Schizosaccharomyces pombe: one gene and its partner. The protein of the gene in region 1 interacts with the protein of each later gene in a pairwise test. Each region holds a gene or a part of one and is shown in the gene's direction. Other genes may lie near its edges.

Region 1 (8,000 bases):
CCGAACAATATTTTTGTGACGCAAACGCTGCAAGATTTTGACTTCACGGACAGTAGTTATAGGGAACTAGAAAGTTAGTCAATTTAGTTACGAGCTTGATTTTTATACTTACACCATCCTTTTCCTGCTCCAGCCTTATCCGTTTTAAAGCTACCAAATCTCCTGTGACTGTGTTAATGGCTTTGTATACTTTACCATAAGTTCCTTCTCCAATTTGGTCGATTTTCTCATAGGCAGGCTTTGGATATGTATATGTATAAATTGGGCCGGAAGGAGGAGAAGGAAGAGGAGCTGGAACAGACTCACGGGCCGTGGACGTGAGTGCCATACGTTTCGAAGGAGGTTGATCGAATCGAGATCGGCGTTCATTAGGTATATGAAAGTGAAATTTTCCATGTTTGTTCTCTGGAAAGCCAGAAGACACGCTAGATTTTTTTTGTGTATCGGAGGAAGTAGTTTCATGAGGGATAGAAGGAATAGGGGGAGGAGAAGATGAAGGTCTCCGCGATACCTTTCGACCGTTAAAAGCTGAAGGCTTCATATGTACAGAACTAGGCGGAGACCTTCGAAAAGAAGAAGCTTGCCTTTTTGAATCATTTCTGTTTGCGGACGGTGATATAGGTGAGACGGAGGCGCTAGAAGAGCTTTCAGAGCGTTTGGCAAAGTAATCCTTGGTAGTTAAATTACGTGCTCGTTTTTGACTACCTGAGCGGTAAAAGGAAGGTGATGGAGGTGAGCCAGGTCTAGGACTGAATGCCTTTTTACCCTTTCTCCTTCTAGATTTTCGAGAACGAAAAGGTCTTTCATGCTGTCTTGCTCGGGAAGAATGTGTATCGTTGAGAGGAAATGTTCTTTTCCGCTGTTCTCGAGGATCCTTCGCAGATGAGGATGGCGATATACTAGATGAATTATTTTTGAAAGCATTAGAGGACAGGGTGTGGCCTCCTAAAGACTCCTCATTTGTACCAGAAAGCTGAGACTTTTCTTCGACGGTACGCCGAAAGTGGCTATTTGGTTCTGTGCCTTGTCGGCGATAAATTGTACTCTTCGAGTATGACATTTAACAGGGTTAAAAAAAATAAAAAATAAAAAAAGGAATATTCCTAAACAATGAAGAGAATTACACGCAATCTGTGAGCGAAAATTCGATGGGAATAAAAGAAAAGAAATTAATCGTTAAAGTACGGCCAAATGTGTTTTTATGTAACAATAAATACAACTTCACCGGAAAAAAATCGTACAAGGGAAATAAAAGGTAAGCTGCCAAGACAAGCTAGTTAAATCCAGTGAAATAAATCATGCAATCTAATAAATGAAGAAAGGACAATTTTCAGAGTGGAGATTTTTTTCACCGCTAAACTATGAAGGGTGAACGTGAGACAAACCTTTTCAATCAATAGAGAAATCTAACCAGAGATTTGTGAATAAGTCGGTTGCAGAAATGTTATTGAAACGTAAATGTACAAAATATGAGTATCCACAAAATTAGGAAATACTTTTAAGTATCAACTCTTGCAGCTTAAAAAAATATACCGTAATTTTCTTTTAGTTGCACTCCTGATTTCTTTGATCTATCAATTCAAAATGTACATTGTTAAAAACACCAATTATCTCGAAATTTAATAAAGACAGAAATAAATTAGTTCTTCCTCTTCTATGACAATGAATGAAGTAGTTTGCAAGTCCACTAGTTTAATCAAGGGGCGATAGGTAAACTTCGTTGTTGGTGTGTAGTAGAAATAGAAATAAACGCGCGCGACTCAATTCCTTTACCACACCATACTTAAAATAATAAGTAATTTGAGGCTATGATGAATATCAGCTTGTTTTATAGAAATCAAAGTAAATAATGTATTTATTCAATGCTTAACTCTTAGCCATTTTCTCTTCCCCATTTGCTAAGATGGTCTTTTAACTATTAACTAAGTCCAACCAGTTATTCTCAATTCATATAATATTATTGGATTAAACCTTTTCATCTGAATTATATTAAGTTCATATTTAACATTTTAAAAAGCGATGAAGATAAATCTGGTAATCCGCATGGATCCTTGGAAATTGCCATTGGCGATAGTAAACCAAAGGAATCAAATGTCGACTAGATAAAGGCAAGTCTGAGCTTTTCTATTAGTTTTGAATCGTTTAAAATAATATTATTTATGAGAAATTAATATTCTACCATAAATTAGTGTTTTCCGTGAGTCTAAAGAATACAAAGTAAAATAATCAATAATATGCAACCCTTACATGTAAGGTAGGAGGGAATATATTATTTTACTGTATATAGAAGTTTTACATCCTTTCATAAGTATAACGTTATCACATTGGACGTTCTAGTAGAACGCCAGTCTTCAAAACATTAAAAATTCATATTCAGCCTCTCAAAATCTATTGTGTGCAAATTGTTTGCAAAGCTAAATTAATCAATAATATTTTTTTAAAAATTAAACAAAAATGCTTGGTTTTAGAAAGAACAAGGTTAGGTCAAGAGCTTCAAGATGAATAACTCATGGAATTCTGTTCCTGTTGTTTATTCAATTTTAAGAGTGATGATTTTGACATAAATTTGGTGCAATATTGTTTAAATAATAGTCTCATTAGTTAAACTAAATGTTTAAAAAAAAAAAAAATCATTGCAAAAAGCTAAATGAGCATAATTGATTTTTTATAAGTTTTTTTTTTCAAAAATGCAAACAAATAAATTAAATTTGTTTAATGAAATTAAAAAATAAAAAGGTAGATGATCGTACAAACGGCTACTACCAGTACGATATAATTTTTTATAAAAATTCCAAAACGTAAGCATAATTAATATGAAATAATAAAATATCATAGAAATTCAAGTGTACAAGGATCCTACGACCAAATGTTTGCTTTCATATGTATATATTCAATTCTAAATATTTATATAGCTTACTCAATTTGTGCAATTTTAACAAAGAAACGTGATTTTATTACAATAAATAGGTCATTAAAAAAATAAAAATTTGCACTTATATTCAATTGACTGACATACAAAACGTATTATCAGAGTTAGACTTAAATAAAATTTTCCTTATTCAACGGACATCCTATACTGGTTTCTGTGGATTTATGATATATTTGCATATGGTAAATTCAGCGAGAGAGTCCCTTGCACTCAATTATATTCACCAATAATACTTAATGAATCTTAATCGAAAAGACATGGACGTTGTGCTTTCAAATGCGAAAACCATATCTTCTTATTCAACATTTAATATGGGGTAAAAGTAGAGTACTTCTAATATCTTAAAGCAAAGCAAAAAAAATAAGCTCTTTTATTATGTTATATTTTCGTTAATAAAAATCGCTTCTTCAAACATTTATTCATCACAGGTGCGATATAAGAATCTGAGTTTGTACTCTATAGCAGCTCTTTTAGCTTTCAGTATTTAATTTATTCAAATGCTATATGCATAATTCCTTCATAGTTTGGCTATGTCTTATCGTTTCGTTTAGTATATTTACAATTCCATTTTATATGTGTTAAAGTAATTATCGAAGAAAGAAGACTATGTAGGGAGAAAGTTTATAAACTGTTAATAAATCGAATTGGTGTCAACTATTATTTAGTCTAACATCGGTAATCCACAGCAATAGCTTCAACGATATCCTTAGGCTTGAAAAAACAAAACTTTTATATAGGAGTTAAATTCACCAAATTATATTTAATTTTTTGGCCATCAATGAACAGGCCAAGTGCATTTTAATTAATGTTATATTGAATCGCACTGTGGAGCCTTAATCCATTTAAAGTAGATATAGTTAGAACTCGTGGTATTTCGCAAAGATACGTTATTCAGAAATATTAATTTTTGTTGTTAACTTGCGCCAGAGCAGCAACATATAGTGTTGCTTGTAATTACTTTAATTCAGCCATTTAGATTACATTCCAGTACTTATTTTTTGTGCTGTAAATCCCATTTATTTGTTATGTGCAATTGAATGTCCCCGGTATTTTGTATAATAATTATTTCTTCATACTGATAAAAAAATGTCGTCTTCTAAAGATTGCAAAGCTACTAGCAATGTCGATCAAACAATTCCTGCATCAAACGTGAACAGTGGTGACTTTATTTCATCGAATACGAGCAGTTCTAATAGCGAAAACTCCAATATTCAAGGAAAACATTATACCCAAGTTGGAGAGGATGCCGATAATTCATTTATTTCTGAAAATACTCCTAAAAACACTTTTGAATCAACTCAAACATATGAAAATCTGGAGAGTATTTCTAAAAATGAACCAACCTCTGAAGCATCAAAGCCCTTGTTAAATGAGTTAGTTCCTGAGGAACCATTGCCAAGGGAGCCGCCTTTACCAAATGAACCAGTTCCTGAGGAACCATTACCAGGGGAACCACCTTTACCAGATGAACCAGTTCCTGAGGAACCATTACCAGGGGAGCCACCTTTACCAAATGAACCAGTTCCTGAAACAAATTGCCATAAAGAATCTCCTTTATCTGACGAAACAGTTTCCGAAACATCAAAAAATGATACTTCTAACTCCCCTACAAATGAAAACCAAGCACAGCCTTCCATTGCTTGGTCCGAGGGTCATCGGATAGCCGCTATTTGGGACCCTTCTCAACAGGCTTACTATTTTTGGGACACTTTAACAAATACGACGAGCTGGAATAATCCGTTAGAAGATGAAGAGCAGACTAGTCCCCTAGATTACACAGCGAAAGTTCAGTTCAATCGCCTATCTGGAAAGTTTATGCCAAAATGGGCTTCACCAGAGTTGCGAAGTGAAGAAAACAAAGCACATAAGCATATGGAACAGTACTTTGACATCAATTCTTCATTGAATAGTCACAATGGCCAAAGTTTACTGGCAGAACGGAGAAACAAGCGATATACCAGGAAAGAGATGGAGCAAATGAAACGAAGAACAAAAGAGAAAAAAGAAATGAAACGAAGAGCGTTATATGACATCGCTTCAGATGAAAAGGACTTCCGCCGTCGCAAAATTATCCGTTATTAATGTTTTTATTCCATTGTTTCTTTCTTGTTTGCATGTTTTATTATTACTTTAAAACTTTAAAAAAAGTCTAAACAATTTACTATAATTTATGTAATGATATTTTTTTTTTTACTTAACTAAAAACTTTCAGTTTTGTAAGACTACTGATATCCAAACAAAGCTATTTTACAACATTATAAATCGAATGTTTAGACGACCTTTTGTGTTTGAATATCTTTCAAATTTAAAAAACATTCATATAGCAATATTCGTTTAATGTGCTACAGTGAACCATCGTTATTTTGATATCGTACATGTGTAAATAGAGCAAAACTTTTGCAGCTTTATTTTGCGATTTATTGATGGCAATTTCTTCATTATCTAGTCCTTCAGGGGCTCGCGTATCTTCAGTTACGGTGAAGAACAAGGTTCTGAAGACTCCTTGCTTTTTCCTTCCTACTTCCAGAGGAACTGTTCCTCATTTGACACCTGACAATGTTGAAGAATTCGATATTCCTGCTCTCTATGTAGGGTTGGAGGATTGGTAAGGTTTAAATTTAGGACTCAAATGCTTTATCATATCTTTTTTAATTTGAATTTCTAACTAATATGTTTGTAGCTTGGATCGTCTGGAAGCCTCACCAATCTTGACTAATGAGGGAACTATCAAAAAATGGATCGCAGCACCCTCTGTCCAACCTACTTTACTTGCTCCAAGAAGAACATCTCCTTTGCCATCTGTTTCTGCAGGACAAAGTCATATTAATATCGTTACTGCAAGTGGTGCAAAGAAACTGACAAATGACTTGTATATTAAAGCTGTCCTAAAGCTTTGTCCTGAATTAGTAATTCCTTTAAATGATACCCCAACTAGTCCTCCTGGTGTCAAAAGGAAGCCAAAAATTGTGGAACGGTCTGTCAATTGGACAACTGAGTTGCTTTTAGCACTCAAAGCGACGGACGCTTTCAATACTACTAAAGTATTTTTCCCTGTTCCTGATCTGGACACTCAGTACCTTACGCCTATTTTCCAGTTTTTTCAAGAAAATCAACTTGCTAACAACATTGCTGGCTTGGCATTTTCTAACAATGTCAATCCATTACCAGCTGATTTGGTTGGTCTCCCAAGACTGAGTATTCAAAAATTTGAATCACCACTCGAAATTCTGAAATGCATTCAAAGAGGAATTGACATTATTGTTCCAGATATGATAACACAAGCTACTGATGCTGGTGTTGCACTTACATTCTCTTTCCCGCCTCCTTCTAAAGATGTGTTGAATTCTAAAATTGAACTTGGCTTGGATATGTGGGACGAAAGGTTTGCTACTGACATGGAACCATTGCAATCCGGCTGCGTTTGCAAAACATGTCGTAGATACAAACGCGCTTATGTTAGGCATCTGTTACAGGCTAGAGAGCTAGTTGCTTGGATACTTTTACAGCTGTATGTTTATATTAAAGAGCATGGTAAAGAAAGCTAACGATTTGTAGACACAATGTTTATGCCTTCACTGCCTTTTTTCAAGGAATCCGCGCCTCCATACAAGAGGGAAACTTTGATGAAGATGTTAGAAAATTTGAAGAAATTTATATGACATCTTTTCCAGCATCCCATGGATTTGGGCCGCGTAAACGTGGTTATCAAATGGATTTGACAAACGTTCAGCCTGTAGAAAACAAGCCTGCTTGGATTTCTATGAAATCTCCTTTGGAAAAGGAAATCGCCAACGAGTATGAAGCTTTGAAGGTTACTGAAAGAAAGGAGGATACTCAGGATTACAATGAACCAGAACTGCATAATAGGTAGGTTACAGTAGCGTACATATTATGTCTAATGTTGACATTAGTAACGACCCAACAGTTGATCTTTACGCTGATACGTATGCTACTCAAGCTGCAACCGAAAGTGATTCAGAATTGGAAGATGCGCTCTTTTCACAGTTGGATGAATTTGATGATACTGCTTATCGAGAACAGAGATTGGAGATGCTAAAAAAAGAGTAAGAAAAAGCTTTAAAATGATTTTAAGAATTTAACCGTTCAGATTCGCTAGAGTGGAAGCTGCAAAAGAAAAAGGACACATGCAGTTTCTTACTGTAGAAAATGAGCGCGAAGTTATGGATTTTACGCTGTATGTCAAAACATTAGCTTCGATTATTTTAAACTAATTATTTTTTAGTTCATCAAAAAAAGTTGTTATACATTTTTACCACCCTGATTTTATACGTTGCAAAATTATAGACTCTCATCTAGAGGTACGAGGAGTTCCATTTATTGCTTACGCTAACATTCTCAGAAAATTGCCAAAGTACATTGGGAAACTAAGTTTATCCGTATTGAAGCAGCCAACGCTCCATTTTTGGTAGTCAAATTGGGTCTCAAAGTATTACCAGCCGTACTTTGCTACGTAAATTCTCAGCTCGTGGATAAGATTATCGGATTTGCTGATTTAGGTAATAAAGATGATTTTGAAACTTCACTCCTAGAATTTCGGTTGCTCAAGAGTTCAGCAATCGACCGATTAAAAGAAGAGAGTTCTTCAAACAAGTCTATTTACCACGATGAACTACAAAATAATCAATCAGATGACAGTGATTTTTTTGAATAAAAGGATCTTGGGATTACAAAGTAAGAAATTTAGATCAATGTGATGTATAATATATATCCTTTTAAAAAAATTTAAAATCTATCATAAGCCTACTGATGAGTGTAGCTATCGTAAAATGTACAGAACAGAAATCACAATGGAGTCTAAAGCAGTAACTATTTTGAAGCGACTTGTTTAACTGAGTCCATAAGTAAGGGAACTACTTTCTTTCTGCTAGCAGCGGAATTTCTTTGATTCCACATACTGAGGTCGCCATTATCTTTCTCTTCAATAATTTCTAATCCTAAATTTTGTTTGCTAAGTTTTAAGAAAGAATCGGCAAGACCAGCTCCCCTTTCAGTACGCTTGTATAAAATCAATTGACGACCAAACTCGTCGTTCTTACTCAGAGATAACCCA
Region 2 (8,243 bases), 3.5 Mb from region 1:
AATTTGGATCATAACGTTAACTGAGCAGATTTAAAGAATTTACTATATCCACTGTCTGAAAAGGAGAAGATTGAGGGGGATGAGCTGTACGATAATATTTTGAAGGAAACTTTTAATGAAGAATTACTCTCTCATTACCCACCAAATATTATTTATGCGACCTTTCAAAAATATTTGAGCTCCTTTATCAATCGAAAATTTGGAGTTTTGCTTTCTTCTTCATTCATACAACAGTTAAATACTGTTGAAAATTTAAGTATGTATCGCTATCAAATTTGATTTTTTTTAACTAACATTGAAGATCTATCTTTCAATTCAACTGATGCAGTTTATCATTTGAAAAAAATCTTACAAGACTTACCCGAGAGTAGCCTAAAGATCCTTGAGAACATTTTTTCTATTGCTTCCGAGTAAGTCACCAAGCTTGTTTTTCAGAGGTTTTATTATCTAACGTCGTAGTTTGCTTTTGAGACTTCCTCTTAAAGATCAATGTGATTTTGTTACGAAACAACTAGCAATTGCCTTGGCTCCTTCCATGTTTGGAAGTAATGCTGTAGAACTTGTTTATTACCTTGCATACCACAGTGATCGCATTTTTGGAACAGTAGAGGAATTGCCGACTCCGGTTTCCCCTGCGAATTCCAATAATGATAAACAGTTAGATGAATCGAAATTCCAAGCAATTGCCATGAAAGAAATGCCGGAAAGACACCCTAAGGAAATTTTACCTGGTCAAATAGAACGAGAGGCATACGAGGATTTACGACGCAAATATCATCTGACTCTTGCAAGGTTGGCTCAAATGACTCGATTAAATGAAGATTCTAAAAAGTCTATCCCTCTGTTGTATGATCGCTTCAACCATGATCTTAAGCTTATAAAGCAATCAGTTCAAGCCAGTTTAATTAGAAAACAATGTGAACTAGATACCGCAAAGTGGACTCTTGAAGAGTATGAATCCAAGCTAAACGCTAAGGAAGGTTGTCAAACCAACATATTTATATAGCCAACTAGTCTATACTACATCGATTATTAGATTATTTGTTTTACTATTCCTTTTTTAGATATCAATAGTTATTTTTTTTATCCTTCAATATGTAAGTGAAAGTTAATAATACTCATCAAAAAGTTTTCTCTTATTTTTATAAATAGTATAGAATTGGAATATGCTACACCGTTTAAAATCTTCAGTTATGAAAACTAAGCATATAGTTTAGAACATATGAGAGTCATTGACATTCCATTGGAAATACTATAATTTTAAATATGCCGGAATGGTGTACTCAAGTAGAAATTGACGTTATGAAGGGAATGAGAAAGAAAGGTCTAAGTATAAAAGAAACTTGAAAAAAGCCTTTTTTAAAACGGCATAAGAATTCATAAGATAATGATTTAGCGTAGATAAAAAGAAAGCAAGCCTATATTGAGACGGAATAAGGCTCATGATGGAACTTAGTTTGCTTCAAATTGTTTACAAAAACCATGAGCTAATTACAAGGAGATTAAAGGGTAACGACGAAAGCTATAAAAAACAGCTATACACTTAAAGTGTTTTCCCAATGAATTGAGTAAGGCAATATTAAGATTGCCGCTGGGTCTCTTGGTACTTATTGAGCACTTCATTTATTTCATCTGACTTCCATATTTTGCAAACCATTTTGTTTTTCGTGGTATCCTTTGTTATTGTTGCAAATTCAATTTTTTCATGAGTTAGGGAGTTACTGTCCAACGTTTTACTCAAAAATTTCACGGCCATAGCAGAAGCCTCATCTAAGTTTATATCATCCTTATACTCCTGTCGCATTAAGCTTTGAACACTAGTACTATTTCCTCCGATACTATTTGCTTGCCAGCTTCCGTAATTTCCAGATGGATTAGATTGGAATAGCTGATATCCACGAATATGATCCCATCCAGCATATAAGAATGAAACACCGAATGGACGTAGCCCACCATACTGTGTATAACCTTGTTTGAGGTCACAAACGCGACGAACTAATTGCTCACAAGGCATCTCTTCATTAAAAGTCTGCAAGTATTGTTGCCCAACCCTTCTAGCGTAGTTAATTAGGATGTTTGCATCTGCGGTAAGCCCTGCCACAGCACATAACATATTGTCTCCTATATGATATAACTTTTCTGCGGATTCTTCTTGTTCTAATAGTTTGCTGGTAACCTTCTTTTCAGCAGCTAAAACAATTCCATCTTTAGCTACAATCCCTAAAGCAACGCCAGCATGGTTGATCGCTTCCAATGCATATTCAACCTGGTATAAACGACCTTCAGGTGAAAAAATAGTCGTGCGAGAATCGTAGCTTCTTGACATAATGAATTTGGTTGATGACAAGTTCGAAAATGCGCGAAGCACTAGATCACGAACATTAATGAGGTCTACCGAAGTGCGATTACCACACTTGCTTTATTCTTTATGTGCTTACTACACTACTATAACAGGACTGACTTTTACCTGTCTTCTAATACAATTAATCTATTATGATTTAAATTAGTATGTTGTTAATCCGCTTATTTTTACAAGCTATGCTGTACAACAAATGTCTTTATAAATGAGAGCTATTTTTACGATAATCAATTTACCTTTAGTACTTTCATATCCTCAAGATATAAAGTTATCAGTGTAGGTTGCTAATAATTAAAATCTGCTTGTAAAAATATTTGAACCAGAGGAGTCAATACTAGTGTAAAAATGTAGCTGCTTACAAATACTTCCAGCCTGCCGTTTAACGATTTACCACGAGTTATGAATTGCTCGTAAATTTATGCGGGTTGTTGTAAATTGACAATATTAAAATTGAAGTTCTCGAAAATGTTTTATTATATTGTACTTGGTAGACCATTTCATTAACTTCTTATTTGTTCTAAAGGAAATACTTGGGAAGACGCTACGTGCGGTGCTGTTATGAGGTTTTTGTAGTATATTCAATAATGTTAACTACACCTATGAATTTATGCAATTTATACAGATTTTTTTTAATAGTTTGTAGAAATTTTTTTGTAATTGACATAACTATTCAGCTGGATTTTGCAAAACTGTTCTATCTATTCTCACACACACGCCCACTGAATACTACCTAACATAGTGTCGAACTTAACTTCTTGATTGTACATATCTTAATGTCACAGCCTTTGCCTCCTGGATGGACTGAACATAAAGGTAAATTTAATGAGCAGTTTATTTGCTAACTCATAGCACCCAGTGGGATTCCTTATTACTGGAATGCCGAGTTAAAAAAAAGCACTTACCAGCGCCCAAGTTTCATTGAGAAAAACCATTCATCTTCTGTTACTGCTTCGCAAGCTTCTTTGGCGTTTAACACAAGCGAAAAGCTGTTTGTTAATGAAAATGCTGAAGAGCGCAAAAATTCTCGAGATTTGAGGAAACAATTACCGGACAGACCAAAATTCAAGTATGTGAGGCGTAAAATTTTGTTATTAACTTTTTTTTTAGAAAAAGAATTCCTAATAATGATTCATGGGTGGTTGTTTTTACTAAGAAAAATCGGTATTTCTTTCACAATTTAAAAAGCCATGAATCATATTGGGAACCTCCTTTGGAAATTAGTAAAGACTTGAAGATATTACGTCTTCCGATACGGAAGCAAATCAGTAAAGATTCCTCACAGAGTCAGAACGTTGATAGTGGTAAAACCAACCACGAAGAAATACATGAATCTAGGCATTTACAAACAGAGATTGAAGAGCCCTCTGGTTTAGAAGAATCATCGGAGGAATCCGTTTTATATTCTGAAGAATTTTATGAAAAATCTGATGAAGAAGAGGATGAGGAAAAATCACACTCCGCTGAAGAGTTGGAGTTTGGTGAGGAAGATATTATGTATCAACTTCAACAATTGGATGATGAAACAGTTTCCTATGATATACAGGAACAAGCTACAAATTTATCTACTGATGATGCTAGAAGAGTATTTACTGAACTTTTGAAGGACAAAAACATCGGGGCATACCAACCGTGGGAACTAGTTTATCCAAAGTTATTAGACGATGATCGTTTTTACGTATTAGATTCGGGAGAGAGACGAAAAGAGGTGTTTGAGGAATATTGCAAGTCGGTGGTTTCTACCAAAAAAATTACGCGTAGAAAAAATACCTTATCGGATTTTTGGACTTTGCTTCATTCACTTCCATCTACCTTGCTATGGCCTCAATTTAAACGTAAATATAGAAAGTCGTCGACTCTTCAAATTCCAGGATATTCGGAACGTGATTTTGAGAAACTTTTCCGTGAGTTTCAGATTCTACGAAAACAGCCTATGCAGGACAAACTGTTAAATTTTAAAAAGCTATGCAAGTCAAAAACTGTAGATCCTAAAAACCCCGACGAATTCACAGAAAGCATACTTAATGACACACGATATGCCGTACTGACGCGTGAAGAACTGGATTCCTTGGCTTGTTCAAGTAATTAATGAATTTTTTATTAAATAGGTGCTTAGAGAATTTCTCATTTATTAATTTATTTGGAAAAAAATTATTTTTTTTCGCGTACTCTTTTAAGCAAGTAGTTTGTCGACGGGTGAGTTTCTTTGTTTACCATCTACTACAATTATGAAATTTCATCCGACGCGTCCTTTGGGTTATATTTCGAGTTTTTTATTATTATTTCTTTTTTCTTTACTAGTGAGTCTACCGGAGATGTAGAATCATTTATGAAATATTCGAATGTGGCCTTTTCCGAGGGGTTAGCCGGTTTTGATTCTTTAGCTCACGTATATCAAGCACTCTTGAAAAAATCCACTTGCTATCAGGAAGTTGCTGCAACTTTAATTTCCAAATGTAGCTTATTGAATACTGAGTTGACTATCGATAATCGAATTCACTCAGCCATTCAAATGACTCTTTGCGATTTTGAACGGTCTCAAATTTTGGCTCCTTCAGAATGCGTTCGTGGCTCGCAAAGTGAATGTGTATCGAAGTTGGAGTCAACTTCTACCTGGTGGCTTTCATTCACTAGTCACTTTCATGATGTAAATCACTTATGCCGGTTAGCAAATCTGGAAATGCAAAAAGGTAAACTTTAAATAAACTCTAACAAACTAACAATATAACAAGAATTATCAATCGAGGTGAATATGAATGTAACTCTTGTGCAAAAGCAATTTTTGGAAATGGTAATTTTGCATTTGCGAAACTTTGAGAGCGTGACAGATAAAATGAATCAACGTATTGATAAGTTTGATGGAAAATTTAATTCAGTTATCGAAAATTCTTTCAAAGATATCAACTTTCGTGTCAACCAAGAAATTATGGGCTTAGTCGAATTGCAAAACCATCAACAGGAAGGAATGGTACAACAAAAAGAAATACTAAGTACAATCAAACAACTAAAATCGGAAATATTTGATATAAACTCCTTTTTCGCTAATTTTATTGAAGAAAGTGCTGGTTATTCCAATAGTTTAATTGAAAAATTGAATGAAAAGTTTACCTCAGAAAATGCAATTGCTCTTTCCGCTATCGGCAAATATACCAGTGAGTTCTCTGCTTTTATGGAAAAAAGGATAAAAAATTTAATTACTACAACCGAGGATTCATTACAGCAATCAGTGCAATCCAACATCGATTTTGTTAACTCAGGTTTTCAACCGTTATACGATCTTACAATTCAATTGAAAGAGGAGCTTCAATCATTGAAACGTTTATCCTCTGAGCAACAGGTTAGTTTTACTTAATGGTTTTTATATTCATCGTTATTGCTTTGTCTAACAGTACTGTATAGAATTTGCAACACGAACAGATACTTCAATGGAAGTCAGACTTCTTAAATGTCAGTAAAGATCACCTTAAGGTACTTCAACAGTTAAGGCCTCTTATTGACATTGTTGAGAAGTTTATGAATGTATATTTTAAAGGATTGTCCAACATTATTAGCAGTTTTGCTTTTATAGGCTTCACGCTGTTCGCTACCTTAAGCAGTTTATTTTTCAAAGTTTTAAAAATACATCGCCGACCGATTATTGTATTCGGCTCCTTATCAATAATCTTTATTCATATTTACTGCTTTAAGATTACCTCATGGGTGAATCTTTACGGATGGATCACTTGCACTATTGCGCGAACTCTCTCGTTTATTAAATTAAATATCCGTACTTTCTATCTGACAGCATTTTTATGTGCTTTATTAAATTTTCTGCGATATCTAAAATACCGAAATTCCAAAAAAGATACGGAGCTATCTCTTTTCCTTCCAGCACCAGAGGAGTGCAATATATATCATAATGAACATATTCAAGTTCAAGAAGACAATTATCTATGCCCAATAGAAAACTCGTTAATCGACCTCTTTGGCTCTGAAAATAATAAGGAAAAACTGGGCAAACAGGAAAATGTTAGGTTTGCTTTCCTGAATAGTGAAAGTTTGGAGCAATCTCCATGGTGGGATTAGTCATCTTTCTAATTCGAATTAATAAATTCTACATCTTAAGAATCTTTTTTACTCGTTTTCATTCACATGACATCAAAGCGTGATGTGAACGAGCATTTCGACTTAGAGCAATTACCGATACCTGTATGATATGGTAGAAAATTTTAGGCGCATAAAAAATGTCAACGTGTATGACTATGTTTGAGTTAAAACAATTGAAGATTAATCCCTATGAAATACAAAACTCCTTGTTCATTATTTCCTAAAGTGGTGAACTATTACTATCAATATTTAGAGGACATTAAGTCATTTTCATGAACAATCATGCGATACATAAATCTGAACACCTGTTCCATCACCTTCTTCAACATCAATTTATTCAACTAATTGAAATGGATTAAACTTACTAAAAATATCTTATATTCAAACTTTTTGCAAATCGTTCTCTCTGTCATCACCTTAGCAAAAACCTTATTATACTAAGTAAGAAAATAACCGAAAAAGTCGAAGGCAAATAATTTTCTTCTTAATTGAAGTGGTACTAAAGGTTTTTGTGATCCAAACGATTATAATATGTTACGTAACGTTGACAAAAACAGTAGTTTACGAAATGGTTTATCTAGATTCTTCAGTGAATGTGAAATACTAGCTTAACGCCTGTCGTCAATTGCTTGACCATTTATCCCGTTTGTTCATTCATGCTACACACATGAGGACATAACGTAATTATAGCGGTTAGAACTCGCAAAATTCCTACATATATATACTACCCGTCTAGTTCATATTTTTTCCAAGGCTTTTATTTATCAACTAAAAAGATTTTAATTTGAAAATGGATTATCATATTGCGATTCTGAACGCAGATACACCAATGGTAGAAATCACCAGCGCATACGGTGATTATGCAGATATGGTTAAATCGTTGCTTCAATCAGGTTCCGAATATTATTCTACAGAATGGAACTTAGTTACCAAAACTTACGAGGTATATAAGAATCCAAACGATTATCCTCAAAAAGAAGATTTTCCAAATATAAACGCAATCATTATAACCGGCTCCAAAGCATCTGCAACAAGCGACGCTCCTTGGATAAAGAAATTGATAAGCTTTGTGAAAGACGTTTTATTTAAATACCCACATATTAAAATTGTAGGTCTCTGTTTTGGTCATCAAATCGTTGCCAAAGCTGCCGGCGTTCCTATTATTCAAAATCCTAAAGGATGGGAAGTTTCTTCTACTGTTGTTCAACTTACTGAAAACGGGGAGAAGTTCTTTGGTAGAAAAGTCATCAATATTAACCAAATGCATCAAGACATGGCAGTTGATGTTCCCGAAGGGTTTGAGCTATTGGGTTCTACTGAAGATTGTGAATTTCAAATATTTTACAAGCCTCGACAGGCACTAACATTTCAAGGACATCCAGAGTTTAGCACAGAAGTTGTCAATACGATGGTAAAAGTTCTCCGCGGAACTGAAGTATTTACCGAACAGCAAAAAGAAGAAGCATTGAAACGCTCAGAAAATCCAGCCGACAATGACTTCCTCGCGGTATCAATTGTTAAATTTCTTTTGGAATAAGTTAAATCTGTTATGACAAGAGTGTTTGCTTATAATGTTTCTACACTTCTTCCCTACATTACTTATTAACGCTTTAATGACTTTCACTAGATATCTTCCACTAAATGTCTAATGATATATCAGTTTAAATCAATTAAAAACTTAAACGATTATATACTTTATTGTATATTTGCATGACAAAAATTGCAATAGCAAAATGACCGTCGGCTTTAGAAAGACAGTCACGTGCAGACCTATTTATTTGTAAACTGAAAACCATTACAG

Evidence for each region.
Region 2: the proteins of saf2 (region 1) and dre4 interact in a two-hybrid assay, tested with the Schizosaccharomyces pombe proteins (one large-scale study listed by BioGRID).

Annotation. Positions count from the first base shown.
Region 1 is NC_003424.3:3,947,531-3,955,530, reverse strand, and holds saf2 (splicing-associated factor Saf2), read left to right. Parts: upstream 1-3,859; 5' UTR 3,860-4,015; coding exon 4,016-5,011; 3' UTR 5,012-5,135; downstream 5,136-8,000. Other genes in the region: P-TEFb-associated cyclin-dependent protein kinase Lsk1, read right to left, coding at 1-66, 113-1,060; qtr2 (queuine tRNA-ribosyltransferase accessory subunit Qtrtd1/Qtr2), read left to right, coding at 5,353-5,534, 5,610-6,474; plp1 (thioredoxin domain-containing protein), read left to right, coding at 6,585-6,796, 6,841-6,993, 7,038-7,124, 7,173-7,248, 7,290-7,601; ppx1 (exopolyphosphatase), read right to left, coding at 7,757-8,000.
Region 2 is NC_003424.3:422,898-431,140, forward strand, and holds dre4 (splicing-associated factor Dre4), read left to right. Parts: upstream 1-3,080; 5' UTR 3,081-3,132; coding exon 3,133-3,172; exon of another isoform or gene 3,173-3,208; coding exon 3,209-3,425; exon of another isoform or gene 3,426-3,466; coding exon 3,467-4,445; 3' UTR 4,446-4,518; downstream 4,519-8,243. Other genes in the region: RhoGEF Gef2, read left to right, coding at 29-256, 302-410, 460-1,006; pre9 (proteasome core particle subunit alpha 3), read right to left, coding at 1,580-2,326; nuclear membrane protein Tht1, read left to right, coding at 4,686-5,046, 5,089-5,693, 5,756-6,421; SPOM_SPAC13C5.04 (amidotransferase), read left to right, coding at 7,233-7,979. UniProt on the Schizosaccharomyces pombe protein: Component of the spliceosome involved in mRNA processing.